Alligator mississippiensis: one gene and its partners. The protein of the gene in region 1 interacts with the protein of each later gene in a pairwise test. Links are inferred from orthologs where the notes say so. Each region holds a gene or a part of one and is shown in the gene's direction. Other genes may lie near its edges. The genes, in order: GRB2, SH2D4A, PRRC2A and HNRNPC.

The links.
Region 2: the proteins of GRB2 (region 1) and SH2D4A interact in binary tests that used the Homo sapiens proteins (3 or more experiments, as listed by UniProt). The link is inferred for Alligator mississippiensis from reciprocal best matches to the Homo sapiens genes GRB2 and SH2D4A.
Region 3: the proteins of GRB2 (region 1) and PRRC2A interact in a two-hybrid assay, tested with the Homo sapiens proteins (2 studies listed by BioGRID and IntAct). The link is inferred for Alligator mississippiensis from reciprocal best matches to the Homo sapiens genes GRB2 and PRRC2A.
Region 4: the proteins of GRB2 (region 1) and HNRNPC interact in a two-hybrid assay, tested with the Homo sapiens proteins (2 studies listed by BioGRID and IntAct, with this or other methods). The link is inferred for Alligator mississippiensis from reciprocal best matches to the Homo sapiens genes GRB2 and HNRNPC.

Annotation. Positions count from the first base shown.
Region 1 is NC_081831.1:12,480,665-12,487,739, reverse strand, and holds the start of GRB2 (growth factor receptor-bound protein 2), read left to right. Parts: upstream 1-4,073; 5' UTR 4,074-4,184; intron 4,185-7,075. UniProt on the Homo sapiens protein: Non-enzymatic adapter protein that plays a pivotal role in precisely regulated signaling cascades from cell surface receptors to cellular responses, including signaling transduction and gene expression.
Region 2 is NC_081825.1:132,233,193-132,240,519, forward strand, and holds the start of SH2D4A (SH2 domain-containing protein 4A), read left to right. Parts: upstream 1-4,317; 5' UTR 4,318-4,742; coding exon 4,743-4,917; intron 4,918-6,214; coding exon 6,215-6,365; intron 6,366-7,278; coding exon 7,279-7,327. UniProt on the Homo sapiens protein: Inhibits estrogen-induced cell proliferation by competing with PLCG for binding to ESR1, blocking the effect of estrogen on PLCG and repressing estrogen-induced proliferation. May play a role in T-cell development and function.
Region 3 is NC_081834.1:58,509,479-58,517,189, forward strand, and holds the start of PRRC2A (protein PRRC2A), read left to right. Parts: upstream 1-4,706; 5' UTR 4,707-4,906; intron 4,907-7,711. UniProt on the Homo sapiens protein: May play a role in the regulation of pre-mRNA splicing.
Region 4 is NC_081830.1:3,830,613-3,838,603, reverse strand, and holds the start of HNRNPC (heterogeneous nuclear ribonucleoproteins C1/C2), read left to right. Parts: upstream 1-4,989; 5' UTR 4,990-5,097; intron 5,098-6,262; 5' UTR 6,263-6,419; intron 6,420-6,697; 5' UTR 6,698-6,723; intron 6,724-6,729; exon of another isoform or gene 6,730-7,148; coding exon of another isoform or gene 7,149-7,362; intron 7,363-7,991. Other genes in the region: probable G-protein coupled receptor 132, read left to right, coding at 1,929-2,816. UniProt on the Homo sapiens protein: Binds pre-mRNA and nucleates the assembly of 40S hnRNP particles. Interacts with poly-U tracts in the 3'-UTR or 5'-UTR of mRNA and modulates the stability and the level of translation of bound mRNA molecules. Single HNRNPC tetramers bind 230-240 nucleotides.

The DNA of each region.
Region 1 (7,075 bases):
GTTTCTGGGCTCTCGTTCAAGCGCTGACACTCCTGGACTAGCTTCCAACAGTCTTTGAAGTTTTACAAGTTGCCATATCTCAACACAAGGGAGCAAGAGGTCACTTCTCCATTATTTTGAAAGAGAAGAAACATGGAGCCTGAATGTTTTCCTAGTTAGTTTTAACCTGTCATATCAGTGCTCCAAGGAAGTATATTTATTGCACTTGCAGCACTGAAGCAGTGGCAAAACTTGGGGGGGCATCTACTGGCTGTCTCCTACGGTATGCTGTGGAAACTCACCCAAAAAATGGGTGTATTAAGAAAGGCCCTAAGCTAAGTCTTTACTTGCTGCAATGCTAGAAATTCTCACTTTCTCAATCACAAAGAGTAGGCGTTCTGACTCATAGTATAGAAGACACTGCATCAGTTGTCATCCAAGTGACCAGAATCATTGCATTACATTGTACGGTAACTGCATGTAAAATCATTAGCTTCTATTACCTGAGCTGAAGAACAAGTTCAAAGATCGCAGCAGACACAAATCACAATCTGTGGCCTAGCGCCTAGCGAGGGTCAAAGCCACACTGGGCTACACTGGTCTGCAATTGTTATCTTTTGAAGTGTGGTACTCAGAAGCATTTCTCAGACATTTAGCGAGATCAGGGCAAACGTGGTGTCAAGATTGCATGAGTACTCTCACAGTGGCTTGTGTCTTCAGTCATACTGTATCAATATAAATCCTACGCCACTGTTACATTTTATGGCATTAATAACAGTTTTGACTTTGATCAGTAACATTGTGTAGATACAAACATTCAAAGCAGACATTTTAAACCTTCAATAGCTGTTCATACAAAATATGTTGCAAGTCGTCTTCCAACCTATTCATAGCAAAGAACCACACATTGAATTTCATACTTCAGACTGCTCCAGGACATTTAAAAAGGGGCCCAAAAGGAAATGTCAGACACTAGAAAAATTTTACTCACTTGCCACTGCTTAAAATAGTTGGAACTAATCTTAGATTTCACTTTACAACCACAAATGGCCAAAGAAAATTCAAACTATTCATACACTACAATAAGGATTTGAAATCAATCCTCAGACTCAAAACACAGACTCTTTGTAGCCTTTTTTTTTAAATCCCTGCTAAAGTTGTGTATCAGGATTTAAATTTCTATGATAGCAGGACTTTCATCCCACCATATTTCTAAGAAAATACATAGTTATTTTGTTAAACATTAATTGATTTGTATACAGCCTAAAGATATGTATTTAATTAGTCCGTAATAATAACACCCCAGTAACTTCTATAAACTCTTTGCTCCCAAACAACTCATCAAAAGGTTTGCTCTCTCATATAAGATTTATTTCCCAGTATGGTGACTTTAAAAGGCAGTTTCAAATAAGCAAAGTCAGTCAAGCAGCTGCAACTTTAAAGCAGCTATTTTACAACTGACAGCTGTTGTCTATATCTATCTTTTTTTCCAGACCAGCTAGTAAGTACCTGCTATATACTTTTTCCTTTGCTTAAACTGATATGGCCCTTCTCATGTGGTTTCTTAAGAATTCCCAAATTGTCCCTCTGAATACACAAAACCAGAGACCCTAGTGTCTGCTGCAGTGGCTAGCCCTGGGGACTGAGACCTCGGGGTCTTGAATTCTATTTCTCATGCTGGCACTGAGTCACTATGGGATCTTGGATGCGTCACTTAACTTCTTTGTCTGCCATATGTAGAATAGATGATAATTACTGCATCATTTCCAACATCCTCAGCCCCCTTAACACTCTTTTCTCCCACCCTCACTCGATTTTTGAATAATTCAGAGGTGAAACAGCATGTGTAGTAGTGGGAGGGTGTGAATCTTACCCCAACCAAGACGAAAGTAAAACCTGTGAAGCATAGTGTTATTATGTGCAGGAAATTATCTTGCTGATAATGGAAGGTAGAAAACTTAATTTCCAAACAGCTTTAGAAAAGAAAATGTATCCAACGGTTCTGACACTTAGAGCTGACACATTAGCAAACCAGATCTTTACAAATGCCCGAATCAGGGGAGAACCCTGCATGAGCCATTAGTGGAGGGGTAGGCAATGTTTTTTGACCAGAGTGCTGAAAAAAACACAATGTCTACCTTGGAAGGTGCTGAAGTGCCAACATGCTGGAGCCTGGAGCAGCTATTTACAGCCTCCCAGCTGCAGCCGGCCCATGGAGCCCATTCTGCTTGCAGCAGGGCTTGCAGCCTCCCAGCCACCTGCTGGGAGCAGCCTGGGCTCCGTGGCTGACAGCAGCTGCTTAGAGCCCAGGCTGGCAGTGGTGTGCTGAGCAAAATGGCCTTGCGTGCCATGCATGCCAAAGGTTGCTGACCCCTGCATTAGTGGAATCATCATGTCTTTAAGAAATATATTTTGATACAGGGCTGCTCCTGCTGCATAGATTTTTTTTTCCTACAATGGTCATGGAGAGGCTAACTGACCTATTGATATAAATGGCCACTGTTGTTCAGTCTCGTTATAAATTAAGAATAAGTGATTTCAGACGAATGATGCTCAAACTTTTGGCCCTGCAGACCAGACATGGAAATTTGCCCCTGGTCTGGATCCTGCAGATGGGGTCCAGAATGCTCCCCCAGCACCAAATGTCTGGACCAGGGCTGGCCCGTCCTATCCTGCAAAACCTGCTTCCACAGGGGGCCCAGCAGCCGAGGGGCCCCCTGCATCTGGCCACCCCTGGCTTCTTCGGCCGCTTGCCACCCCTTCCCCTGCTGACGCTGGCTTCTTTGCATCGGGGACCCCAAAACTATATTTTGCAGGGGGGCCCAAAAATTGTGGACCGGTCCTGGTCTGGATCCAGTGGGCAGGAAGTTGAACACTGCTTTACATGGCAATAAATTAAAATGCTTTGCAATTCCCATGAGTGACAGGCCTGAGTCACCTCTTATATACAGACTATCTGGGTAAGCCTAGATCTGAACTTTGCAACTGAGTCTCATCTCTAATTAACACAATATATACGCTTCCTACACTCCACATTCACAGACCTGACATGGCTAAAAAGTCCTCTATAATTGGCCTGTCGTTAATAACTACCCCCAAGAAGCCAACTGATAAGAGCCTGTGGGCTGTGACATCCTTTAGGCACCAGAATCCTGGGAGTGGGTGGGTAGCCATAGAAAAAGCTTCTATTTTTGAAATCAGCCTTCTTATTGGAAAGCAAGATTAAGAGTTACTCTTTAAATAGGCCTTGGCTTCATCAAGGAATCAGAGCCAGATGTTTACCTAGGAAACCACTTGAGATTATATTGTAATTACTTTTAAGAATAGTTAAAGGAATGTCAGGGGGGTCAGAGCCAAGCTCGCTCTCAAAAAAGGAAATACTAGAATTACAGTTGCTCACGAAACCTTAATTCTCCCCTCTGCGCACACACATAAGCAAACAGTCTGTAATTACACAGACGTAAAAGCATCCACTAAGTTTGGATGCCCAGCTCGAGGCACCTGGGGCATTATTATTCAGAGCCCTTAATGCGTATGTAGCACTTTCAGGATTCAAAGCATTGCACCTATATTAACTATTTAATCTTCTGAGCATTCCTGGGACCTGGCTAGAAAAAGAGAGGAGGAAAAAGGGCAGGGACTTGCCCAGAGCTCTCTATCCACAGCTACAAGCTTCCCCTGCTTCACCAAATCAAGTTGGTCCTCCAGGGCTTTCACAACCTAGATGTGTTTCAGCTGTCGGTTTGCACCCATTTCTCAGCTTCTCATGTGAGCAGTGTTCTCAGGAAGGCTCCTCCCTTTCTCTTTTCATCCCTCCTCCCTGAGCATGCTCAAATGACACCTGCACCCGCCTCCCCAGCCCACCCTGGACATCCCTCGTGCCCGCAGACGAAGGACGCTTCAGGCGACTAAACCCACCATAAAGCCCCCTGTGCCAACCCGCTCGGTCCCACGCATGCGCACTGGCAGTGTCAGGAGCCGACTGGCGAGGCCGCGCCTGCGCCCGGCGCACACTCCCTGGGGGCTCAGACTACGCATGCGCGTGGGCGGGGCGCGCGGCCCTGACAGCGCGAGGCCTGTCGGGCGGTGCTTCTCGCGAGACTTGGCGGTAGCGGAAGCCAGGCGGCGGCGGCGGCGGGAGGGGCAGCCGGGAGAGGCAGCGTCACGGGGCCGCTCGGAGCGGAGCGGAGCTCCAGCGCCACACGGTGAGGGCGGGCCGGGCCGGGCCGGGCGGGCCGGGACAGGACCTGGGGGCAGCGCGGGGCCGCTCCACGGGTGGGGCCGGGCGCTGCGCCCCGGGGCCGGGGGGGGCCTTTGTGCCGCGCGTCCTGGTGGAGCTCCGCTCCTCGCCTCGCGGGACCGGGAGGTGGCACCTGAGCAGAGGCCTGGGGGGTGGGCCGGGCTGAGCTGGGCCGGGCCGGGCCGGGGCGTGCACAGGCAGGGCGACGGGGTCTCCGGCTCCGCACTTCGGGGGCCCCTTGGGTTCAGCCCCGTTAGCTGTGCAAACACGAGTCAACCGTGCCCAGACTTCAGACCCGCATCCCAGTGGGTGACCCACGCTTTGCCCTGCTGCGGGCTCTCCGAGGCCTCTCGTCCTGCAGTCCAAACAAGAGCGAAACTCCTCTTCTGGGGACTGCTTTGGGTGTGAAAGGGTTGAGAAGCACCGAGGTGTCGTTCCTCCCTCTCTCCACCCCGCACGTTCCCCTTTTTCTGATGTAAGCCATTACGTTTATAATAGTGTATAGATGCTTATGTGCTTGTGTGATAAACGCGATTCGTGTGATAAACCTGGGGACTCTGAATAAGAAGCCACAGCCTTAAAAAAACAACTCCCCCCCCCCCCCCCCATCTTGACCTGATGTGATCTTTCTGTGTTCATTGCAACAGAAGAATTGCTCTAGTGTTTTCCCCATAGTCAAAAATGGAGTGAAAACCAAGAGCTGGCATTTTCCAAGGGCCGCCTGGAGCCTGACAAAGGGTGCCTTGAGTCTAAAAAGGTTAAGGACCGCTGATTTGGAGCCAGGGAATACTGTTTGGAAAATCAGGGTTAGGAAACACTTCTCCTTTCTTTTATGAATAAATTGCTACCCATATTCGCTTGCTCCTAAGTTAACTTCTTGGCATCCAATACTTTGCCCAAAACAAATGGTCTTTGGGTTATTTTTTTATCGTCTCTTAAGAAGGTGACATCATCTTGCATTAAAGCCTTTCACAATAGTAGCAGATTCCGAAATAGAACTCTTGTATTAGATTTTAAAAAGTCATTCCCGTATGAAAGAAAGTGGCAGCTAGAAAGTAGCGGTCTTGGTAAAACCAAAGCAGTTGTTCCCTGATAAGGTGATCGTGTTCCTAACAAGGCCTGGCCAAAGAATATTGAATATTGGGAAACACCCCAGAGGCTGAAAGTCTGGTGTTGATTGTTTCTTGACTTGTTTTTGAGCCAGCCACATTTGGCCCAGTGGAAGTACAAAATGAAGGATGAGAATTGCGGAATTGTTGATAGGTTGGGGTATAATTTCTGATTCTGGCTGTCCCTGTTTTTACTTGTTTTCAAGTTGAATTTGCACCATGCTATACATGCTGTACTCACTTACATAGGCAGCTCGGACCAGTGCATGGGCTTGCTACATTGACTTCTTTCAGTCTGCCTTCCTTTGTTTGCAGCCCCTCTTATTTTTGTCTTCCAGATGACAAAACCTATGCTGTTCATTGGAACACGGGATGCACTCCTCACTGCCACTGAACCTTTCTTTCTTCTGTTACTCCCACCCTCCAAAGCTATCTGTTCTTCTCTTTCTGCCCTTGCCTCTCTTTTTCCAGGACAGCAAGAGTGCAGAGTTAAATCAAGAGAGCCCTCATTTACTGATGGAAGCCATATCAAAATAGTCTTCATCCCCTGTGTATTTGTGAAATCTCAGGAAAAGGGGTCATAGGAATTGTGATTTATGGTGGACAGCAGGAGCTGGTGCATTACAAATACTTGCATTCTGTCTCAAATTTAAACTCTGTGCTATTAAATGAAAAGTTACCCAGGTTGTGCACTTGGTGCTTTCTTCTTTTCCCCTCCCATTGTTTTTTGTTTGTTTTTTTTTAAACAAGTGAACACCATGCATTAAACTGAATGTGAGAGTTAAGAACCATACCAGTTTCTTCTGAGATATCTTAGTTGCTTCTCTAGTCAATCCTTCATTCTTGTAACCTGTATTCTTATTTTGGGTGTGTGTATCTTACCTTATCTGTCTGCCTGGAGAGTTAAAATATACTCTGTAAAATGGCCTCTTTAATTGCTGTACCAGTCTTAATCTGAAATAAGTACTTGCAACTTCACTTAGAGTGGGCAGTGTGGCAAAGGACTAGCACAAGCCACTTCCTACGCAAGACAGACTTTCTCACTGTACTGGGTTTATTTTTTCTTTTGAATTATTTTCCCGATTCAGTTTGTTTGTCAAAGGTGTTTGGCAGTCCCACTTCCTTAATTAGGTTGTTTACCTGTGCTGCTATGTGTTTTTTGTTGTGCAAGATATTACCAACAATACACTGTACTGATAAGAGTAGTACATAGCTAAAGCTTTCTGAGCAGTTTAAATTGTATGATACATGTTCCTGATTTTGTTTTCCTTTCCTTAGCTGACATCAGCTATATAATAATTTAAATAGAAATATGTATGTGTGTATGTAGCCTGGATACCTGAACTTCAGTGACATTTTGCCAACAATTAAGAATGTTACATAGCAAAAGCTTGCTCTCCTAGGCAAGTATTGCTAATTAGTGTGGTTACCTAAAAACCTAATTCTTTTAAGTACTGAAGATCAAAATAAAGGTGGTGTCTTTGCGCTTGTTAGATTTAAATAAATCTCTACAAAGACTGTCTTTTCATCTTGTACCTTGTGAAAAAAGTTGTTTGCTTGGTAGGAAACTTGCTAGTTCAGGGTATCAGCAAAATGGTTCTTGGAAACATTGCACTATCTTTTTTTTCTAAGAACCTTGTGTTTTTACATTTTGTAACAGAGTTTTCCCCTATACTACACAAGCACCTTGAGCAATGATGTACCTCCAGGAAATATTTACTCATAGGTTTTGTATCTTTTGTTTAAA
Region 2 (7,327 bases), on another chromosome or scaffold:
CTTCTCCTTGTGTCCTCTCTCTAGCCCTGACATCCACACTGGTCAGTGATTAAGGGTGAGAGCCCACAAAGTCTCATCTGCTTCTACAGGACTCTCCCCCACACCCTCTTTGAAATTGCTGGGAAAGGGGGTAGTTGGATAATAGTCTAGATACTCCACTGCTTTATTGGAGGCAACAAATGAAACTTGTCCAGTCATGCTGCAGATTCCCATTCAAAATAATCTTCATCTATTGGAAATGTAAATGAGTTCACTTCTCCCTCCCTCCAGGGCTAAATTTTCAAAAAAAGAAAAAAATTGAGGGACAGGGTACATCAGGAGTTAAATTTAGCTCAGAAGAGCTAAGCCTGGTGCCCCTGGAAAAGTTCAAGAAATCAAGAAGACTGTATGCAGTCGTCAAATATATTTTGTTATAAGGTCCTGTGAATTCAATGTTCATCTCAGCAAAGCGCAATAGTTATTGTAACTATTATAAGAAACTATTATACATGGTTGTGAGTGGAGTCAAATAGAAATAAACATGAGAACAGTATGTTACAAAAGAAGAATAACTTGCTTCATTTATGGGTGTGCCCAAAGAAAAACACCATAGAGGAAACTGGAGGATGGTTAAGATTGAAATATGCACAACTGCCACATCCGTATTAGGGGTAAAAAAAAATATAATGCTAAGTAATCATGGAGAACTAAAGATATCATGAATCTTAGGCTAGAAATTGATGTCACTGAATGAAGCAGATCTGTTGTGCCACAATGTGTTGCAGCACAGCAGATTCACTTCATCGGGCAAAACACATGTTGGCCCTTGTCTAGCTCCTGATATACTCCTTTGATTATAGGGGATGGGTCTCCCTGAATGGGGAAGGTTGGGCTTTCTCCTCTCACCCAGACACGTTCCTGTGATTGTGGGAGATAGGTCTGTAAAATCAGGTACAAGTAGCCCCCAAACCTCCAAACATGCATACTAATCAGGATATGCAGAGAAAGAATACACAAAGTTGCCATAACAGTCATAACCATAAGAAAGCATATATTACATAAGCAGGGTTACAAGTGTAAGCACATTGTATGTCTGAGCCCTTTTTAAGGCCGGAGTTAAGGACGCAGTGTACCACAGGATCTTGTAGTCTGCCTTCCTTAGGATTGCCAGGAAACGCTTTATTCTGACCTTTCAACAAACCTACCCAGATGGCACCAAGCACTACTGTCACTAGATGTGGAATGAGCTGACCTGATATCTAGTCTTAAAATGTTCTTTCATCAATGCTGATCTTGCTTATTCCTGTATTCTGGATAGCTGGTGCCTACAGGTGTCTCAGTATGTCTCACTGAGCCTTCTGACCTATGCCCAAGGGGCTTGATCCTCCCTCAAATAGCAAAATATTTGCTGGCACTTTTAGGCCAGGTACAGACATTACACCTTTACCAGTATAAGTGATCAGAAACCAGTCTATACCCATAACAGAACAAAAGTTCAGCACACAAAACTGGTCTATACTTGTAACAGGTTAGATGTTTGGCACGCATAGACTGGTTTAAAAATGGCAGAACTCAGTCTAAGATTCGCTCCCGCCTCCCCCTCCCACCAAAAGGCAAATGCGCATTGTGTTTACAACTAATCTAAACTACACCACTTATAGAAAACCATGTAACAGATCAATTCTGCCTCCGGCCTTTTTAATGTTTTTTATTTAGCCTTAACCAGTTCCTCTCAGCTATGCTAGCCCACCAAAGGTCAACCAGCCAAATCACAACAGCACTACCAAAGGTCTTTGGCTACAGAACATCAAACTGGGGAGTTCAGACTTTTAACCATGCAAGTAATAAGCAGCCAACCATGTGGCTGCACAGTGTATATTAATGGATGTGGTGGAGCCTTCATCACTTGAAGTCTTGCAAATAGGACTAGACTTCTTCCCTCAAGATGCAGTCAAGTTCACGGGAGAAGGTGTGAGCTAATTGCAGAAATGGTTTTATTAATTTTCCCATAGGAAGCCAGACTGGCTGTACATATGATCCCTTCTGGCATTTGTATCTATGAATGCATGAAAAAGCAGGCTGGACAAAAAATGATTACCCCTGCAGATGTGCACAGCCTTTACAATATGGGCAGCAGCCTCTGAGCACAGTCACCTGCCCCTGTACTGAGGCGAACCAGATAACAAGAGGAATGCTGCCCCAGACAGGCTGGCTGGAGATGGGTAGCAGCAGTGCAAACTGATAAGGCTCCTGAATCACTAGCTTCACATACATGCTCTTGGCCTATACTAGGTTTTCAAGGTCAGTATATTCCTACAGTCCTATTTTGCTTCATCCTAGCAAGAAAAGATGGCAGGGGTTATTTGAGGATGGTTATGATCCAAGAGACTGTAGAGTATGGTCCAAACACACTTGTACTGTCCTACTGTACATCTCTGGGCTGGTTGCAAGCAGGCAAATATCCCAGAACTCTAAGTTAATAAAAGAGAGGTATTACAGTTTTTACTTCCACCTTCAGGGCTTCTTGAGATAGGTCTTGCTCAAGACACTTGGGTTCCATTCAACTCTTGATCAATTGTCTCACGCTTAGTTGGCAAAGCCCCTCTTTGGAAAAGCAATGGCAAAATCTTTGGGAGCCTTAGACTGTATCTGCCACTTACATTGCCAGAGAACTTGTGCCCAAATCCCACATTGCTAACAGATGAATGGGAAAATTAAGAGATTCATTTCTAGAGCTGGATGAACTCTTTTTTTTTGACCAAATAGCTTATCTGCAGTTTCAGGTCCTGGCTGTGAAATGATTCATACATGTGGGTCAAATTAAGCAAATAGTTTTGGCTGAAAAAAAAATGGCAAAAAAGAATTTTGAGAAACCCACAATGCTTTACTATCACATTTTCAAAATGCAAATCTTTGATTTTGAAAGGATCTTTTGTTTAGAAATGTAAATAGTTTAATGGAAAGAATGAAAACACCAGAAATTGCAAGAAAAGCTTAATTTTAGTTTGCCTTCCCCCTCCGCAATGTGCAGACCCTGGCTGAGGGTCCATTCCCCCTCACCCACTCCCCCACGGCTGACAAGTTGGGGACTGGTTATGGGGCAGGGCTGGAGCTGGGGCACTCAGAGCCTAGCAGAACTGTGCTGTAAGGGAGAAAAGCCCCCACCTCAGAGGTTTTCCCACCCCTTCCACACCCGCTGTGCAGTCCCTGGTTGGAGGGAGCTGGGGCTGGGGCAGGGGTACATTCCCCTCCCCTCCCCCGCCCCAATCCCCAACCCTTTGCCACTACCAGTGGGGCTGGGGAGACTGCCTAAGCTCTGTGACAGCTGCGGGCGGCCTCCCAGCTGGCCAGGAGCAGACAAGTTGGGGCAGAGGTTAGCCTACCCAATCAGCAGGGGGTGTTAGTGAGGGCTGGAATACATCCTGGGATGCCGGTGGACTGAGACCTAACTTATGTCCAGAGGGGATCTGGGACAGAAGTTCAATAGATGGGTTTAACCTGAATCAGTTAAGTCTGATATTACATCCATCCAGGCCTCTCTTAAACTAGTTTTGACCATTTTGAAGCTGTTCTATGTGCACTGAACTTCTGTTCTGTTACAGGTTTAAACCAGTTTCCAATCACTTATACCAGTTTATGTATAATGTCTGTCCCTAGCCCTTAAGTCCAGGACAAAGAAAGCAGTGCACAGGCTGGTCTAATGGACTCTGAGGCTGACTTGCATTTGATTTCTAAAAGTTCAGGCATCAGAAACAGCTTTGAGATGTGGCAACTACAGCCAAACCTAATTGTGGAGCAGACTGAGTGGAAACTCAAGGGAGAGCAGGTGAAGACTTTCACTAGGAATAGTTGAGTATTTCCAGTTTGCTTGAGAAGGACCCCTCATGTACACACCAGTATTTTATAACCAGTTCCTCATCCCAGATCATAGTACCATACTTCTATTTGTGGAGATATGTCCTTGCCTATGGAGGGTTTCCCCCTCCTTCCTGTTTATCTCCTTCCATGGTTTGGAGGTACTACGCAAGGGAGATGAGCAACATTTTTCACACCAATAAAAATATCACCCCTGGACCTTCTCAGCTCTTGTCAGCCTATAGCTACTTCCAGCTCTAGTGGCTTTGAACAAATTGCCCTGCCTCTTATGCTGTATTGGGGATAGTGCACTGTAACTTGAGATTCTGTGGGTGGGGAGGCCAAAAATCACTGTTCCTCCCACTCTGTGCTTGCTTAGATAAAATGGGGCATGTCGACCTTTTAGCCTTGTATGGTGCATTCTCAGTGGTTTCTTTTTTTTCAAAAGGTGTGTGGGAGGGAGCAGGGAGTTTCCTAGCTGAAGACCCACAGGTTCATTGGCCTCTTGAGCAATGGTATGTTTGCCTACCCAGAAATAAGCCACACCTCTGACTTTGTTATACATGGAGCGTTTTTTTTTGATACAGTATCAGATGAGATTATCAGGGTGCAAACATGGTTTTCTCACTATGAGCAAAGTCTATACCAATTTGTCCCTGAAAGACCAAGGAGACGGGGAATTCTAATAACAGGTTGGAAGCTGTTTATTTACTTTTCTGGCATCTGTGCAGGAAGTCTGAGCTAAAATAGGTGCAGAGACGGGAATATAATTACCATAGGAAGCCTGCATTCTTGCTGTGCGATCAGTGTGTGCAGCGACTTGCGGGCCCAGGCATACCTGAGTGACAAAAGAGAACCTCATCTTTAAAACTCATTGCTACCAGTGTGAATACCTGAGAGACACAGCCATGCTGAAACAGATTTTGGCAGATATGTACGTTGATCCTGACCTGCTGGCAGAGCTCAGTGAGGAACAGAAACAGATCCTCTTCTTCAAGATGAGGCAAGAACAGGTCAGACGGTGGAAGGAAAGAGAAACTGCCACAGGCAAGAGCTCAACAAAAAAACCTGCACCAAGGAAAGGTAAGACTCTGCCCAGAAGCAGATTCCAGCTCTCATTTCCCTCCCTGACAAACAAAGCTGCTTCAATGGGTGCTTTGCAGCCGGGTGAAAAGCATTTCTAAAGAGATATTGCTTTGGTTAGGGAAGCACAGCTGGAAATGGTTATAAATACAGTTTCCTGCCATCACAGGTGCGGTTTGGGTTCAAACCTTGGTTTCTGGCTCAGGCAAGGTGGGGTTGGCTTCCAAGACTGACCTTGGTCAAACCCCTTCCATTTCCCTGCCTTAAAAAATGGGAATAATTGTCTGTCTCATCCATGCAGACTGTAAGCTTTTTGGTACAGGAGCTGTGTGTATGTATAGTTCCCAGCCTGATGGGGTCTCTAGATTCTCCAAATAGCTGCTCAAGCACCCATTCAGCAAGACCAAGGCTGAAGCAGTATGGGCCTTTGGACCGTGCAGCTAAATGGACTGAGATATTTCAAATACTTCTCTTCTGGGTGCATACACTTGTTTTTCAGCAGCCCAGTCCATGCCGTGTTGGCAAGTCCTGTTGGAGAGGCATGCAGAAAGCCCTGTCTGGGCTGGCTATATCAGCAAGCAGGCAACAGCATGACCCTCACAGCCAGCGAGAGGTCACATAGCATTAAGGTGGTTCCAGACCTGAGGCCATGCTGGGATTTTCACTAGCAACCACATTGCTCTGTTAGGCATAGGAGTCCCTGCCATTCCTTTCTCCCACGCCATTAACCTTAGGGCCAAAGAGGAAGCATGGAGCAGCAAAGACTGGTCTCCACTGCTGAGGAACCACCTTTGTTCCTCCAGGCAGTGTCCCCAGCCATGTCTTTCATTGAAACATGGTTCAATGAATTACAGGGAGTTTAACAGAATAGGCAGGTAGCTGAGCTCCCTTACAACATCCCCAAGAAAAGGGAATAATACATGGTGTGGGTTGGAGCAAGGGAAGGGGCCCTCAGTTGGGAAAAATGGCTTTGGTCTCCCTCATAACCATGATGTAATACAGAATCCCACCAACCTCAGTGCAGTTGCTTGCTACACAGCTATGGGGCAAAGTGTGGGAATCTGGTCCAGCCAATACTCCGGTTGAGGGAGATATTGTTCTACAAATATATGTGGCATGTCAAATTGCTAGCAGCTTCACCCATAACCTGTGCTCCTTGCTGCCTCCCAGACCAACCTGCTTTACCCAAAAGTCCCACCAGCTGCCTGGAGGAAGGGAGGGCATGGAAGGAAAGAGCTAGAGCAGCCCCTGAGGTTGCCGTTCACCCTGCCCAGCCACATGAATGCTTGTCTTGCAGCCAAGGGGAAGTCGGTGAAGTGGAAGCTCGGAGCAGACAGTGAAGTCTGGGTCTGGGTCATGGGTGAGCACATGTTGGATAAGCCATATGACATGATCTGTGATCAGATCCTTGCTCAGAGGGCCCAGCAACAACCCAAGGAGGAAGTCAGGTAAGGCAAGCCTCTTTCTAAGAGCAGGTTCAGCAGGTTTGCAGCTGCTAGCAGGGATGTGTCACTAGTGAAAAAGGAGGGAGCCATCATATTATATAGGGAGGGTAATTGGTGCAACATGAAAGGGAGATCTAGGATGGAGGCAACTATTGTGGGTTCTTCAATCTGGATCCTGTCAGACTGGATCCTCCTTCCCCATCAGTTTCATGACAAGCAGCTGCAAAGCTACTGGACCTACTGTGTGTGTCCTAACTGGACCTATTGTATGTGCCAGAGCACTGCGTGGGCTGCAGGGCATACACTCAAGTCTCAGGGCACATGAGGCCTGGGATCTTTGAAATCTAGGAGGTGTTTTCTGTTATGGAGCATGTGACTTGAAGCCTGCAGGAAGCCAGATATCAAGCTAGAGTTGTTCGACCTGCTCCTGAGCAACTAGCAGGGTGTGGGCGTGTGTTGACATCCCAGTTCATTTGCAGATGCCAGAGGTGTGAACTAAGGGGTTCCCAAGTGCTCCCTACCTCTGCCATGCGGGAGCCACATTTAGCCCTGCTGCCTGCTGTGCCAATAGGAGGGGAGCTCAAATCCAAACCCTGGGGTGGTGCCCTTGTAAAATGGGTCAGGAGTAATACCTCTGTACAGTGCTAGGGGTGCAGTAATACCTGTGTACAATATTTGGAATGGTCAGTGTCTCTGCTACCAGAGTAGGTGACATTTGAGACTATTAACAGGGGCTCCTGTTGCGCAGGAGTTAACCTGCCCAGTGAGTGATACCTTTACTTGCCCTGGGGCTTGTGGTGCTCCTCAGTCTGAGAGCCTTCCACACAATTGCTGTGTTTGCATATGATTTCCCTTCAGTTGCATGGAAGGCACCAGGCTTATTTGATTTCCAAATCCCATTTTTATCTCTTCACAGAGAGAGTCAAGCATTGACCAAGCCTTCCATAACATGGTCTCTGCATTCT
Region 3 (7,711 bases), on another chromosome or scaffold:
GCCTCCCATGGGCTCGCAAGGCTCTGATTGGCTGAGAAGTGGGGCCTTGGCCTGGGGGGGTGGGGTTCTGAGGTGGAATAGTTCATTGAGGGCTGGAGGGGAGCTACAGTTGGGACAGTCCAATCCTCCCATGGGCCAGTCCAACTGGCAACACCTCCTTCTCCTGTGTAATGGGCCAGTCCATTTTACAGGGTGGGGGTGCCCAGGGGTCAGCAAAATACCGCCCGCGAGCCAAATCTCGCCCGTGGAGGGACTTTGGTCCCCCAGTCTCGCCTGGTCCAGGCACCATCCAGCCCGTGGCGCGTGTCCCACTACCCCACCCTGGCCATGCCCTGGCTGGAGCGAGCCAGCTGCAGGCAGCCCACCACAGTGCAGACATGGGCTTTGGGGTTGGGGGCAGCTGCAGGGGCGGGGAGGCATGGGCCGGCCCAAATAATTGCCCCCCCCCCCCTGCACTGGCCCACGGGCGATTTGGGATGTTCCATTACACAGGGGAGGGGGGTGTTGGCAGTTGGACTAGCCCATGGGAGGTTCGGGATGCTCCATTACATAGAGGAGTGGGGTGTTGGCAGCTGGGCTGGACCATGGGAAGCTTGGGATGTTCCATTACATAGGGGAGAGAGGTGTTGGCAGTTGGGCTAGCCCATGGGAGGTTTGGGATGTTCCATTACACAGGGGAGGGCGGTGTTGGCTGCTGGGCTGGACCATGGGAACCTTGAGATGTTCTATTACATAGAGGACAGGGATGTTGACAGTTGGGCTAGCCAATGGGAGGTTTGGGATGTTCCATTACATAGGGGAGGGGGATGTTGTCAGTTGCATTAGCCCCTGGGAGGGCTGGAATATGCCATTGCACAAGGGTAGGTGGTTGCTTGGATTTGGACTGGACCATTATAGTGGGAGGGTTGGGATGTGCCATTAGGAAGAGAGGCAGCTGGTTTCACTGAGACTGGCCCATTGAAGTGTACAGTTGGAGTGTTCCAGTTTAGAAGGTGCGAGGGGGGGCAGAATTCCAGGTTCAACAGCCCATTATAGAGCTGAGCAGGGTAGACAATCCCCTGTTATAGCAGGCAAGTATGGAGAAACATCATCGTGTTAATGAACGGGGTGGTCCCTAAATGGAATGGCCCATTATAAGCACATGATGTTGGGGAAGATAGCCAGATAGTGGAATATCCCATGGGGGGGGAGCACTATTCCACCACAAGGAGAGGGGTACCTGGGTGTGCAATGACCTAGCCATGGGCACTTGGAACCTCCCATTTTAATGCACTAAACAGGGGTATTCCTTGGTGGAATGGTCCATTGCAGTAGTTAGAGAAGTTCCCATCTGGGGCGGGGGAAGGGGGGGGGGGGGGAGAGAGAGAGAGAGAGAGAGAGAGAGAGAGAGAGAGAGAGAGAGAGAGAGAGACTACCCTTGCTGGAATGATCCATTGGTGTAGGTGAGGCTGGAACAGCTCAAAATGTGGAGCAGTCCATTACAGCAGGTGAGATTGGCATGGCTCATTTGAACAGCTTGAGGGGGGTGTCAACTGGTGGACTGACCCATTATGAGAAGAGGAGGGTGTATAATGGCATAAGAGGGGGTATTTATATATCATGCAGATAATAAATTATAATATATAGTATATATATAATATTTATTTAAAGTATGTTATGATATATAATAATAAAATGAAAATAGCACATACCATGTATGTCTATGTATATATGTGCATGTGTTTATGTACATGCTTGTGTGTGTGTGTGTGTGTGTGTGTGTGTGTGTGTGTGTGTGTGTGTGTGTGTGTGTGCATATGCATACATATGTAGAGAGAGATACTAGCGAATTGCCCTTCAAGAATAACAGGAGATGGGGTGGGGAGCAGGCTGGGAGGGAGCGCTGCCACCTCCCACCCTGCACCACCACTGCCTCTTGGGAGTGGGGAGGGAAGCTTGCCTCACCGTCCCCTCTGTCCCCCTAGGCCAGCACCCCACACCACCTCCACCTTCAGTGCCACTGGTCTCCCCCCTCCCCGCTCCCCCCCGCCCTCATCCTCGGAGGTGGCAGAGCACCACCATGATGGCAGGGATGAACTGGGGGGAAAGAGGCCAGTGCTGCTGGCTTTACCACCACACTCTGTCCCCTCCATCCCTGCTGTCATGGCAACTTTTCACACTCTGATTGGTTGTTTCACTAACCAATCAGAGTGCTCCAAGAGCATTACAGACAGACAGACGGACTAAGCCCTTTATTATATAACAGTGGTTCTCAAACTTTTTTTTTTTTGCGGACCACTGGGAAATTGCTGAGAGTCTCGGTGGATCACTTAATAAACTTTTTATTTGTTTTAAATATCAAAGCACACAATTCATATTTTAGTATCAGTATTCTAACCTTACAAGTAAAGATATTCTGGATTGTTCTGCAACCTCTTACTGTGGACCACCTGAATGGAGCTTGTGAATGAGGGGTGGTCCATGGACCACCGTTTCAGAACCTCTGTTATATATATAGAGAGAGATATATATGTGTGTGTGTGTGTGTGTAAATCTATTTATATCTCATGAAGATAATAGATTATAACATATAGTATTATAACAATAGTATAGTATAGTATAATAGTAATATATGATAGCAATAGTAAATATAATAGTGTTGGCTACAAATGTCCAACTCGGGATCCTTAAAATTCTGGTTTATTAGGCAGATTGAAACACTGTAATGAGTTAAATCATAAACCTTGGGGCTGGTTCCCCCCCCCCCATGCACACACATACACACACATAGTAGCAGGCTACAGAGTCAGGTATACCTATCCTACAAGCGCTGGAGTCTGTCGTTGAGGCTTCTTTCAGGGTGGTGTTATCTTCCAGAAGGAGGCCACTGGCTGGTCCTTCTGGCTGGACAGATCTGGTCGAGTTGGAGATCAAGAGGGCACCTCTGAGGGTCACTTTTCACTGCCTTTTATCTGTCCCTGGCAGACTTTGGTGACTCCCCAGTTTTCAGGTTTGCCCAATCCAGGGGTCATTGACCCTTGTGGGACTTCCCCCGCCTCGGTGGCTACTGGACGGCATCTGTCAGCCCCAGGGGTCGTCTGCATGAACGTGCCGGTTTGGGAGTCCGTTGATGAATTTAGAATAGGGCTCTGGGAGTGGTCGATCTGGAGATATTCAGCCCAAAAGTTGGTCTCTGGTGTTGATTAACTCAGGCCAGGGCTTCTAGCCCTTGATCAGTGAGGTTTAGAGATTTCCCGGTTGATACATTGTCTTCTATTGAGTTCTTCCTTCCGTTGGCTGATCTGCAGCTTCCAGGTGTTAATTGCTGTGTGCTACATTGTTATACATTCAATCATGTTACACATTCAATCACTGATTCACTCGCTCTTTCAGGGGCCAGCCTGATACAGGGAAGGGCAGTTTGATTCCTGCCCTTGTTAATATTGTTACAATGTATAACTTACTTATGAAACTAAACACATTTAGTTGAAAGTTGAAAGGTGAGGAGTATAAAATATAAGCTACAAATGCCATGGCACACAAATAGATAAAAATACCAAACTACAAGGGGAGATACAAAATGCACACATACAAATTTTAAAACACAATTCCTTATCTTAAAGTGAAAGAGGAAGGAAGAAAAGGTAGAAAAAGAGAAACATACCCAAAGAGGGGAGAGCAAATGCAGGCAAGAGGAAAAGGGGGCTTTCTGCTACAATAGTAGTATAGCTTTATAATAATAGATTATATATGGGGGTGGGGGTATCTCATATACTATGACATAATAGGAGAGACTGGATTATGCATTTGCCTCCTCCACCTCCTAGTTTTCCTGCTACAAGGCCCCACCTCTTTTACATAAATTATATAAAGAGTAATTTCAAATACCAGGCTGTATCTCATTAGCATAATTTAGGCATCACATAGGGAAAGCAGACTCTAAAAGTTGCCCCTCCTCCGCCATCAGGCCTATCGGTCCCAATTTGCATTGCACATATTTTGCCCCTCTCTTGGCATAAATTATGCAATGAGTTTCTGAAAAATCAGGCTGTGGCTCGTTTGCATAGTTTACGCATACAGGAGAGAAAGCAGAAGGAACCTTTATTTTAAATGATGGCCCCATCTTCACCTTAAGTGTGCACTCACATAAGGCAGAGGAACCCTCATTTGCATGCCGTTGAAGGTTTTTGCATAAATTATGTAGATTACAGGTGGTTCTTGTTTATGGTCAAGCTGCCCCCCCACCCCAGGATACCCATGTAGGACATACATCCCTATTTGCATATCATTTCTTTGCATAAAAATATGCCAAGCGCTCCTCTTGCCTGCGGCTAAGCTCCGCCCCTTTGCATCACATACCCATAAATTATGCAAAGTATTGATATGTATTGTTATATTTATATTATATTTATATATTTCTATGTTTAACTTATGCATGATGTAATAACTTAATGTCTAATTTATGTATTGTAATCATGCAATCAGGACACAGTCCCCGCCCTTCTCGTTTGCCTAAGTTATGCACATCAGAAACCGCTTAAAAGCCGCGCTCCTCGTGGGGAAGGAAGCCCCGCCCCTTTTGCATAGATTACACATATCAGGACGGAGCTCGAAGGCTGCTTGCGCCCCCCCCCCCCCTTGCAGGCATTATGCAAATCCCCGGCGCGCTCTCCACAGCCTAGGCCGGCGGGAAGCCCCGCCCCCGACGCAGCGTGGGGGGCGTGGCTTCCCCCGCCGCCGGGGCCTGGGACCCGGATGGCCGTTTAGTCGGTGCCGAGACGCCGAAGCTGCCACATCGGGCGCTGGGCTGGGCGGAGGGGGTGGGGACCCGCCGCCATCCGCCGCCATCCTCCGCCTGGAAGCCCCCTCCGCTCCCGGGGACCCCGCGGCCGGTGAGAGCGGAGCCCGCCCGACCCGACCCGACGAGGTGGGTATCGGCCTGCGGACACCCTCCCCGGGGCGCCCGGCCAGGCGCGCTGCGCGGAGCCCGCTGGGACGCTCGGGCCTCCGCCATCTTGTGCCCGGCTTCCTAACCCGCCCCCCCTCCGGTTTCATCCGCATCCATCCTCCCCCCGGCGCCCTCCAGCCCCGGCCGGGAGACCCCCCAGCCCGTCCCAAATCGCTTCCTCTCTCTCCCTGGGGGGTTATTTACTGGCTGGGGGGGCAAGAAGGGGACTAATTACCCCCCTGGACTCCAGGGTCCCCCAAGGGGCGGGGGGGGGTTAAAGTGACTGTTGAGGCTCTAGAGGCCAACCCCCCACCCATTATATACCCCCCATGGGGTGGAGGAGGGGGTGCTTGGGGGAGCTGTAAATGGGCAGCCCTTTAACAGCCCCCTTCTACTTCATCCCATCGTTTTTAAGGCAAAAATTGGGGATGGGGGGTATTTGGGGTACAGGCTGCTGGGGGCTCTTGCAAAGCCCTGCCCAGTAAACCAGTCCCTTCTGTTCTAGGGGGTTGGGGTATCCCTTGATGACTTATGGGGGGGCTGTAGCTTTTGAGGGTGAAATTGGAGGTTTTCTGGGCTCCCCCTTGTCCCCCAGTGGCCACACCCTCCCCAACCCCCCAGGTTTTGGGGTGCATGAGGGGGCTAAGATTTAGGGTATAAGCAGGGAGTGGGACCCTTTTAAACCCCCCCTTCAAAGTCGGAGACACCCCAAAATGTGTGGAAACAGCTGCTTTATGGCTGTAGGTTTGTTTTGGGGGGGCAGCCACCAGATTGGACCCGTCAGCTTTTTGGGGGCATCTGAAATGGATTGGGGATGCTAGGCTACCTGGGGGAGTGGGGTGAGATATCGGGGTTCCCCCACTGCCTTTGGGGGGCTGGGGCTTCGCTCCCTGGTACCTTCCTGCCTAACCAGTGCTGGTCCTCGGTGAGACCCAGCCCGCCGGGCTGCTTCCGCAGTGGTACCCAGCACCCCCAGGAAATGGGGGGGGGGGGTACGTTTTCACTGCTCTGCTTGTTTTGGTGCTGGTTTGGGGATGGTGTTCGGTTTAGCTCAGCCCCCCCATACTCACTTATTTTGGGGTCTTCTGGGATTGTTGGAGTGCCTTGAATGGGGGACTTGATTTGGGGGGGCTTCCCCTGATATCCCCTAGAAGATGTGCCCATAGCCCTGGAGCTGCCTTTCATGCTCCTCCTTTATTGTTGGGGTGTCTCAGATGGAGGTGGGGGGTATTGAGCTGCCTTTTGTGCTCCCCTCTGCAGGTTGTTTTGGGGTCTCCTGGGATTGTTGGAGTGTCTTGGATGGGAGGGCGTTGATTTGGGGGATACCTTCCCTGATACCGCCCAACCCCTAGGAAGTGCCCCTGTGACCTCTGAGCTGCCTTTAATGCCCCCTTGAGTTGTTTTGGGGGCTCCTGGGATTGTTGGGGTGCATTGGGTGGGTAGGCATTGATTGATATGGGACATGCCCTCTCTGATACCTGCGTTGGAAACACCCCTGTGCCCATTGAGCCACCTTTCACATGTGATAGGGGGGCTGGAGGGGTGTCTAGCTTCACCCCAGAACCCCTCAGCCCTCAACATATTGGGGGCACTACTGAATCAAGGTCTGGAGCTTCCCCCTCTTCTGTCATTCCCCCCAGCAATGAATAGATATCCATCCCTTTAACTTGGGAGGAGGGTCTATGGGAAAGGAGGGGCTGGTTTCACCCAGCCCCCACTGTCAGTCAAACTTGGGTGGGCTTATTTCCATGCAGTTTTGGGGCAGAAATCAGAGCTTTTGGGGTCTCTGTCCTCCCAGGATTTTTCTCACCTATTCTGCTTCAATAAAAGCCATTGGTTTTTAACCCCCTCCTGGCAGAAGGCCGCAAAGGACCTTTTTCATACCAGCCACTCTGGCTTTGCCAGCCGCTCTCCTTTTAAGTTCATCGAGGTACGTGTGACGTTCAGGGGTCTGCAGGGACCCCCATCTCACCCTCCCCATCCCAAAATTGCCACTGAGAAGTAGAAACCCCCTTGGAAATATGAAGGTTTAAATAAAAACAGACTATTTGCAGAGGGCTTGGTATCTCCGAATACAGGACGAAGGCAGATGATTAAATCTAGCTTGGAGGTTTTAATTGTCCGGGGTGGGGGGTATTAAAATATGGGTGGAAAATCCAGGAGAGATTGGACAAATAAATAAGAAAACTTAGCGGGTTCTAGGTGGGGGTTGTTCTGGTTTGGACTTTAGATGAGCTCTAAGGAGGGAAAACCCAGCTCCTCTTGCCCCCTAAAATTTCCTGGTGGCTAGATCGTTTTGGTGGGGGGGCATCTTGGGGGTGCCTTGGATGCTTCTGGGAGGGGGGTTTTTTGGGGTGCAGGCCTGGGCAGATGAATGACATGGAGGAGTAGACAGCCCATCGTTGGTCTTGGAGTGAACCCTAGGCTTGGAAGGAGGTTAAGGGGGTCCCCCCAAACCCTTCAGCCTCTTTAATATTGAGGGAGGGTCAGATTTGGGGGGGGGCAAAGATGAAGGTCTGTAGCTACCCCCTTCTGCATCACCCCCATAAACGCATCCCTCAGCCATGAATATGGACCAGAGGCATCCATTTTGGCGGGCAAAAAGAGGATTAACCATGTTTTATTAGGTCAGGAACACCCAGACCTAGCTGAAACGTGTCTGAATTTGGGGTGTCTTTGCTCCCCCCAAACCCCCGGCTGCAGAGCTCCTAGTCAACCACACTGGTGCCAGTGGGGATTAATGGCTTCTTAATTGATTTGCAGAGAACACCCAGGCGCCCGCCG
Region 4 (7,991 bases), on another chromosome or scaffold:
CTCCCACCTTATATGTGCTCTTTCCTTGTGTGCTTTCTCCTGCTTACCACATTGTGGCTGTCTGCAGAGATCTTCTCAGCGTCACGGAACTGAACCACAACCTTACGCATTTGAAACCACTGAAAGACACCAGCTTAGAGCTAGAGCGCAGCGCCGAGCTGTCAACACACACCAAAGCAGCAGCAGGATCTCAAGGTGAGTGCTTTATGGGGCTCTCTGCCCTTACCCCCATTTGCCCAAGGAGCAGAGGCCAATGACCATCACCCACGTGGCCGCGCTAACCTTGGCGGCACCGCAATTGTCTGCAGCCCATGGAAGTGCAGGGGGTGGACCAGGCTGTGATAGCGCTCTGCAGCAATGAGGCACAGGAAGCCATTCTTGGCATAGAAGTTTGTGATAGCGGGGGTCGGACCCGATGATCTGTTTAAGTCCCTTCCGACCCTAAATACTATGCTTCCTTTCCCCTCTCTTCCCCTGAGCTCCCAGGGAAGCCAGCAGGACCCTGCTTGATTTCCCCAGCACAGCTCAGAAACACGCTGCCTTAAGTATCTGCGTTTTGCTTGGTTTTGAGAAGGTTTTTGGCATGATCCAGTCTGACAAATTCTGGCCAAACTCTATGATGCTGACTCCTGGGGCCTCCAGCTGATGGGGAAATAAGCAAAAGGGGAATAAACCATGCAACAGATAGGCATGGCAACATGGAGAAAGGGGTGAGCGAGGTCTGCATCCTTATGCTTTCATAACTCAATGCAGACACGGAAAGCGTAATAGAACCGTGCTCCAAAAATTCCAGCGCAGGACCCAGGCATTAATGGGATTTATATAAATGTACCTAATATATGCAGATAACCTTGTTTTAATAGCTTCAGCTAGAGCAGACCTCTAGAATATGCCTAGTGCTTGTACTATCAGGACAAGGCAGAAAGAAAATCAGACAGAAGGAGGCGGAGAGCCAGCTATGTTGGCAGCGCTGCAAGACAGCGTCGGGTCCAAAAGAAGGCAGGTACGTTACAGCTCTGCCATGGCAGCAAATGATGGGAAGTGGTGATCTGTGACTTGGGACTGGGAGACAGATGGAACCGCAGTTTCCCAGGAACGTGAATGCAACAGCTGCATTTCCGCCAAAGTTCCTGAGGGAAGATGCGAGCAAAGCCCAGGGGTTCAAGCTGTTGAAGACTAGCCTTGACAGCTGCTCTCCCTGCATTGCCCCTAAAACACCTCAAGATGATTGCTCATGCTGTTGTGCAGGGGGCTGTCTAGAAATCTCGCTTCCGCTGCTGCGAGTGACTTGCTTTGCTCTGCCTCAGCTGAAGCCACCTTTACTTAGTGTTCAGCAGAGATGCAGACAAAGCAAGGGCTCTTCTTCCTTCCCCAGCTGTGAGATGCTCTAGGGAGGTCACTCGGCCAGAGCGAGAAAGCCCTCCGCCAGTCCCGACCTTTGTGCCTTTAATTTCTGCTTGGTTTGCTGAGGTTTGCAGGGATTTCCTTGCTTTTTAGAGTGAAAAATAAAAGGAAAGAAAAAAAATAGCAAGTCATTGCAGATCTGATCAGGCAGCCCAGCTTGGCTACAGCATTTGTTGCAGAGGACCAGATCCCAGTGTGCAGGCTATGAAATCCTGACCACTCAGCCTGATAAAGAGTGGGTGAGTGGGGGGAGTTGTGTGGTCTGCATGTGCCCCCAACCCTACCGTATCCAGATTTTTTGTGTCTTTTGTAGATCCCTTGAGGAACGGGGTTTGGGAGTCCATAAAGTGACTGTGCTCCCTCGGCGAGGCAGCTCCCTTGGAGAAGCAGGTGAGGCGATCTTCAGGAGCAGAGCTCGAGGCCCTCCTTCCTGTGGGACAGGGACTAAGGCTCTTGGCAGACACCCCGTCCTCTGCTAGGGCAGAGAGTACATCATGAACGACAACAACAGCTGTTATTGCCCCATGGCTTTTAACACCACCAAGTACTTCCTCGTTCCCATCTACTCCGTGGTAATAGGGACTGGCTTGCCTCTGAACTTCTTGGCACTCTGGGTCCTGGTGTCCCAGATCAAAAAGGCTGTGGTCCTTTCGGTCTTTGTGATGAACCTGGTGGTGGCTGACCTACTGCAGACCTTGACACTGCCCTTCTGGATCTACTACAGCTACCAGGATCACCGCTGGGACCTGGGGGAGATCACTTGCATGGTGGTCCACCTGATCTTCCTCACAAACTTCTACGCCAAGAACAGTTTCCTGTGCCTCATTGCTGCAGAGCGCTATCTCGGCCTGGTCTACCCCCTGCGCTTCCACGGGCTACAGACAATGCGCAGTGCTGCCACGATCAGCGCAGCCATGTGGATGATGGTCATTGGCTTCTGCTCCTTGGGCAACTGGCTGCAGAACCTGGGGCCAGACCGCTGCTATGACTGCTACCCACAAGTCATAAAGTACGTCCGTTTCCGATGGGCCGTCTTGAGCATCTCCTTCCTCCTACCCTGCTTCTTCATGGGTTTCTGCAACATCCAGGTCCTGTGCAAGATTAGACAGGTGTCATCCCTGGAGCAGGAGAAGAAGCAGCACATGTGCTGGTTTATGTCCTTCATCATCATCTCCTTCTTCCTGCTCTTCCTCCCTTATCAGGTGAATTTCTTGTTGAAGCGCCAGATGACGTCACCAGACTCTGACACGTGTCATCTGGAGAAGAATTTTTTCACTTACAGCCAGGTGGCAAAGAGCATCCCCACATTGGGCAACATCACAGATCCCCTTCTCTACATCCTGCTCCTCAAAGAGGGGAGGGCAGAGCTCAGGAACTGCTTCAGAAACATGGTCTTGAGATCAGCGTCGTAACAAGGTCAGACCCAATGCCACCATCCTCCTTGGCAGGGGCAGAGGTGCGTGTAGGGACTGCCCTGGGTAGGATTTTTCAGGACAGTCCTGAGTGGCAGGGCTGCATCTGGGCATACGTGATGACTACCTGATCCACCCCAACTTGGGAATGCTGGCCCTGGAGTGGCCCCAGGCAGCGTCCCCTTGCATCTGCTGAGGGGGAAAGCCCAGTGCTGCCTGCAGCTTGACTGCCCCAGGGGAGAGGGGGCCATGGCTTTGCTCCAGCTAGTCCACTTGTCCCCCTGGTGACACCCGGACATGGCTATACTAATTAGTTCTGCTGCAGTGGCATATGCATGTAGCCATGCTACTTCCAGCAGCTGCCTCCTGAGCGAAGAGCAGCTCTGTGCCTCTCAGCAGAGCCAGGCAGCCTGGCCACAGCATCGCTGTTATAAAAACCGGAACTAGAAGCGGTGTGAACAGCTTCTGCTTCTGAAAGACTTGGGGGCGGGGCGTGGGATAGCGGTCTGAATTTCGACCACATTGGAGTAGGGTTGGATGGATGCCAGCTCAGACCTGCGTCTAGACTACTGGCTATGGGGGCACGAGCCTATCTGTTTTTTGAGGGTTCATCTGTCCAATCCTGGTAAGGCAGCAAGTGCCAACCAGCAGTCGGCGACCACCCACAGACACTGCTGTAATGGCAGGCAGCGGCGTCCGCGGGCTGCCCACAGACGCTGCCGGCAGTGTCGGCAGCAAGCAGTGACTGCCAGCAGTTTTGGTGTCGCCTTTGGGTGCACCGCTACACTCAGGGGGTGTATGCATCGCCAGTGATTGTGCATCGCCAAATTAAAGTAAAAATGCTTGGATCTTTCTGCCTACTGGCCTTGCACCTTCACAGGGCACGATTTTCAGCCGTTCTCTGCCCCGGGAGGGCTTAAAATTGAGAGTTTAGTGTCATCACCCGATTCCAGAGTCAATAGCTGTGCGGGAAGGACTGGTCTCTTGAGAGCTGGCAACACTGGACAGGCGCTGTGTGAAAACCAGTGATGGACTGGGATCTAGGGGAGATGGTTGAGAGGCGATAGAGAGCAGCTGGTCCCTGCAGTGCCAGGCATTGCCTGTTTAGAAAGGGACCAGGGAAGTTCTTGGAGGAAAGCGGCGGCAGCAGCTATTGAGCAGGGGTGCAGGGCATGTGTACACATTTGCTTTCATGTGCATTCGCCTGCTTTATTGCACATTAAAGCATCACAAAAAAGCTGTGCACTTTTGCTAATGTGCATTAAACGAATGTGCCTGTTCCAGTAGCTCTCAGTGGAGGTACTAGATTTAATGAACATTAGCAAAAGCGCATTAATGAACGTGGAGAAGCGCCCTAAGCGCCGGACGCTGCAAGAGGGAGGGAAACCCCTGGGCAGACCCAGTTCACTCGCAGCCCCCTCTCTCGCCCCACCCCCTCTGGCAAGGGTATCAATGATTTCAAACTGGCCAATGAGCGTTCGGGAAAGGCAGCGCCCAGCAGCGATTGGCGGAGACGTGACCAATCCGCGCCAGCCCTCTCCCTTCCACCGAACGCGCCTTGCTCGACAGCCGGCGCCGGTCTCTGACAAGGGGAGTGTGGGAGGGGAAGACAGGAGCCGTACGTCATCCCCCACCGGGACCAATAGAAAAGCGCCCATGCCAAGGTCCTGGCTGCCAGTCACAAGCTCCGCCCCGCTCCCTGGGGCTTTTCCCGCGAGTCTTTCCCTGTTCATCCCGCCTCCTCGACTATAGCCTATAAGAGCTAAAATTACCGGGGAGTGACAGAAGTTCCAGCCATTCAGGGTGGATCGATGCAGAGAGGTGGGCCCGTAAAAGGCTTAATGACCAATCACAGAAAGACATGAGGCAGGGGCGGAATCGAATGTGCCGTTCACCCAATGAGAAAAGACTGCGGCGTGGACTGACAGCAAGTTTAACCAAGCAGAGGAGAGTGTTGGGCTGCGGGAGTAGAGCGATGGGAGCAGCAGCCAGTGGTTGCTTACGCCCCCACTCCGCCGAGGCAGGGGGGGTCGAACCCGCCGTTTCCCACCCCTCAGAGTTTCCTCTCTCATTGGCCAGTAGCAGGATTGACTTCTTTGCCAGCCAATGACAGTGAATAAGGCTGTTCCCTCTCTTCCAATGGGGGCGGGGACGGGGTGGACTCGGATTAGTCCGGGCTGAGCGGTGCAGAGGGCGGCGTGGGCGCCATTTTGTGAGCAGCGCGGAGCCAGGAGGCCGCGGCGGGAGCGCGAGCGACTCGAAGTCTGAGCGGGGCCTAGCGGTGAGTCTGTCGTTGCTGCGCCGCTGCACGCAAGGCTGAGCTGGGACAGCGCGGGGCCGCCCCCCCGCGGTGTGCTCCGCCTCCCCGCGCCATTTGGGGGTAGCGGACCCCCCCCGCCCCTCGGCGCGGCTCTGCCCGGCCGGGAGCGCGGGGGAATCCCGCCCCTCCCCCGGCTTACAATGGTGCAGTCCAGGCACCACAGCCTGTTCTCCTGGGCGAGACCATCGCGGGGCCAGGGGGGGAGCCGGGGAGAAGAATGGTACGGCTCAGACGGGAGAGACCACCATGGCGGGGTGGAGGGGATGATATCGCTGAGGGGCGGCCGGGCGCGGGCTGACCAATGGGAAAACGAGGAATCCGCCCCCCCCCGCGGGGGGACAATGGTGCGGCCTGCAGAGCCCGGTTTCCCGCTTCTTTGGGACAGACCAATGGGCGCGCAGGGGGGGGCTGGCGCCTTCACCTCCATCCCCACCTCCCCCGCCACGCGGCAGTGGTCTCGGCCAGGTGGGGGTCTGGCTCCCGGGGCCTGTGCTGCAGGGGCACGCGGCCTGGTGGGCGGCAGCTGGAGCAGAGCCTCGAGTGGGCAGGAAGAAGGGGCTCCTGTCTCGGCCTGCCGCTCTCTGCCTGCGCCTCGGCCCTGCATGCGGATCCCTGCAGCCAGAGGGCACGGTCCGGGTCCGGCCCCCGCGGGCCTCACTTCTCCCCCTCCCCCCCCTTCCACCAGGAATAGGCCCCCTCGCCTTGCCTCGCCCCCTGTTCCCTGCCGTAGGTAACGCCGGTGCCTCCGGGGAGGCGTCAGCGTTGCATCGCGTCCTGGGCTGGAGCAGGACGCGTGCCCCCGCAACCCCCCCGCACCCTCAGGGCAGCTTGAGCTCCAAGGATCCTCCGTCAGGATAGGCTCGCATGACACTTCCCCCCTCCCCGCCTGCACGATGCACCCCCCCCATTCGAATCTCCTCCTGCCGCCGTGCTTGACGTCTGAGCTGCTTCCTTGGAGACGGAGGAGCGGAGCGGAGGGGTTAGCGCAGGATTGGTGGCAGGAGCCCTAGCTTGAGCGCTCGGGGGTCCCTGGAGGCAGGCAGGCCTTTCTCGGGGCGGGGGCGCGGGAGGGGCGCGCAGCGTTTCCGAGGAACCCTGACTCAACCTGTCCCTTCTCCTTCCACAGGGCAGCGAGGCGAAACCCCATCCCTCCTCACTGGAGCTCAGCTTCGTGTTAACCCCCTCCCCCCCCCACACACACACCTCCCCATTTTATAGAGCCCTTTTAACAGTGCCCCCGGGGCTCAGCGCTCCCCGCGCCACGCTGGAGCTGGATTTAAGATGTAATTTTGCAAAGTGTCTATTTTTTTCTGCAGCAGCTGGGTTAGAGAGGAGGAGCCTTTTAGCCCCTCATGAGCTGACCTCTCGGGTATTTTTAGAGTGCAGTGGTGGTGTGCAAAGGGCTTTGATTGTCTCCTACCAAGAGCTCTCCCCACGTGGCTCTGTGGTAACCACAGAGCGCGAGAGAGAGGGAGAGAACAGAAATGATCGTTGCTGACTTGACCTTTCGGCACCTCCCGTTTTTCTAATCTGGGCTATTTTTATTTTTGTTTTTTTACAGCGAGATTTTTTTGATCTTCAGCTACAGTAAGTTATTCCACATTTTTTTCCATTTTTCCTGCCTTTCCACTGATTTCCTTTTTATTGTTGTTGCTAGTTACTATTACTATTATACTACTATAATGCTGATGACTTTACTATGCTGATATATTACTGATGGTGATGATAAATGACACTGCTGATTTTTAACCAGATGAAATCGCGTTTTTCTGAGTGTTCCTGACTGAGCTGGGTTTTTACCCTTTGTGAGAGACAACAAGGTTTTTGCATTTTTAAAGTGGATTGATCACGCTAACTCTTTTTCCCCCCCTTGACTGCTGAGATTGGGACCTGGTTTCTCCTGAACTGTTTTAGAGCGTCTCTGGAAGTCTGTATTTTTATTTTTTCTTTTGTTTTTTTTATTTTTTTATTTTTTAATCTTTCGTTTGTGCCATTTTTAAACTTGCTGCCGTATGATGTCTGTGGTGCTGATCGCCTGTGGTGGCGATGGCCCTTCCCCAACAGCCCCCTCCTCTTGTGCCCCCAAAACCCTCCTCCTGCTCTCTTCCTCTACGCCGTCCTTCCCTCAAAACAACCCACCACCACGCCACGGACACCTGGCCTGGAGCGGCAGCAACAGCCAATGGAACCGCCCGTGGAGCAGATACAAACCCATCCCAGGCGATGGTAAGAGGTGTGAGGCCAGTAGATTTCACTGTGAGCTTTGGCCACCAGAGCCACAGGCCCAGGCATGGAGGAGTCCCCAGCACAAGGATCCTGTGTTATACCGCAGGCCTGGTTTAGGGTTAGAAGCACCATGTCACAACTGTCACCTTGGCTGGCAGAGCTGTGTAGGAGCGTGGTGGGAGCCCTGGCGCTGTGGCCTTAGTGCTGGGAGAATAGACCCCGCAGGGAAGGCCCGGCTATGGGAACCGCAGCGGCTCTGCAGAGCTGGTGCCCCACGTGCCGTGAGCAGTGCTTCAGGAAGACATCTGGGTTTGACCTGGACAAAGGAGGAAAAAAAGCCATGGGAGTCTTGTTCCCCTGCCTTTGGGCAGGCTGGTCCCCTGCTAAAGGGGAACCTTCCACCTCCTGTGAATGTCCTTCTGCCTGCTTCCCCCTCCCTTTCCCCAGTGAGGAAACCATCTCTGAGCACAGGACACCACATGAGACCTAGAACAGTGCATAGAAGCATGCTGTCCCTTGTAGTGGGATGGCAGGTCAGGCCTGGAGCCGTGTGCAGGAACAGCGTATGTCTAGAAGGCTTTCTGTGTTTCCGTGCTGTGTCTGCAAAAGCAGCAGGAGCTTGAGCCACC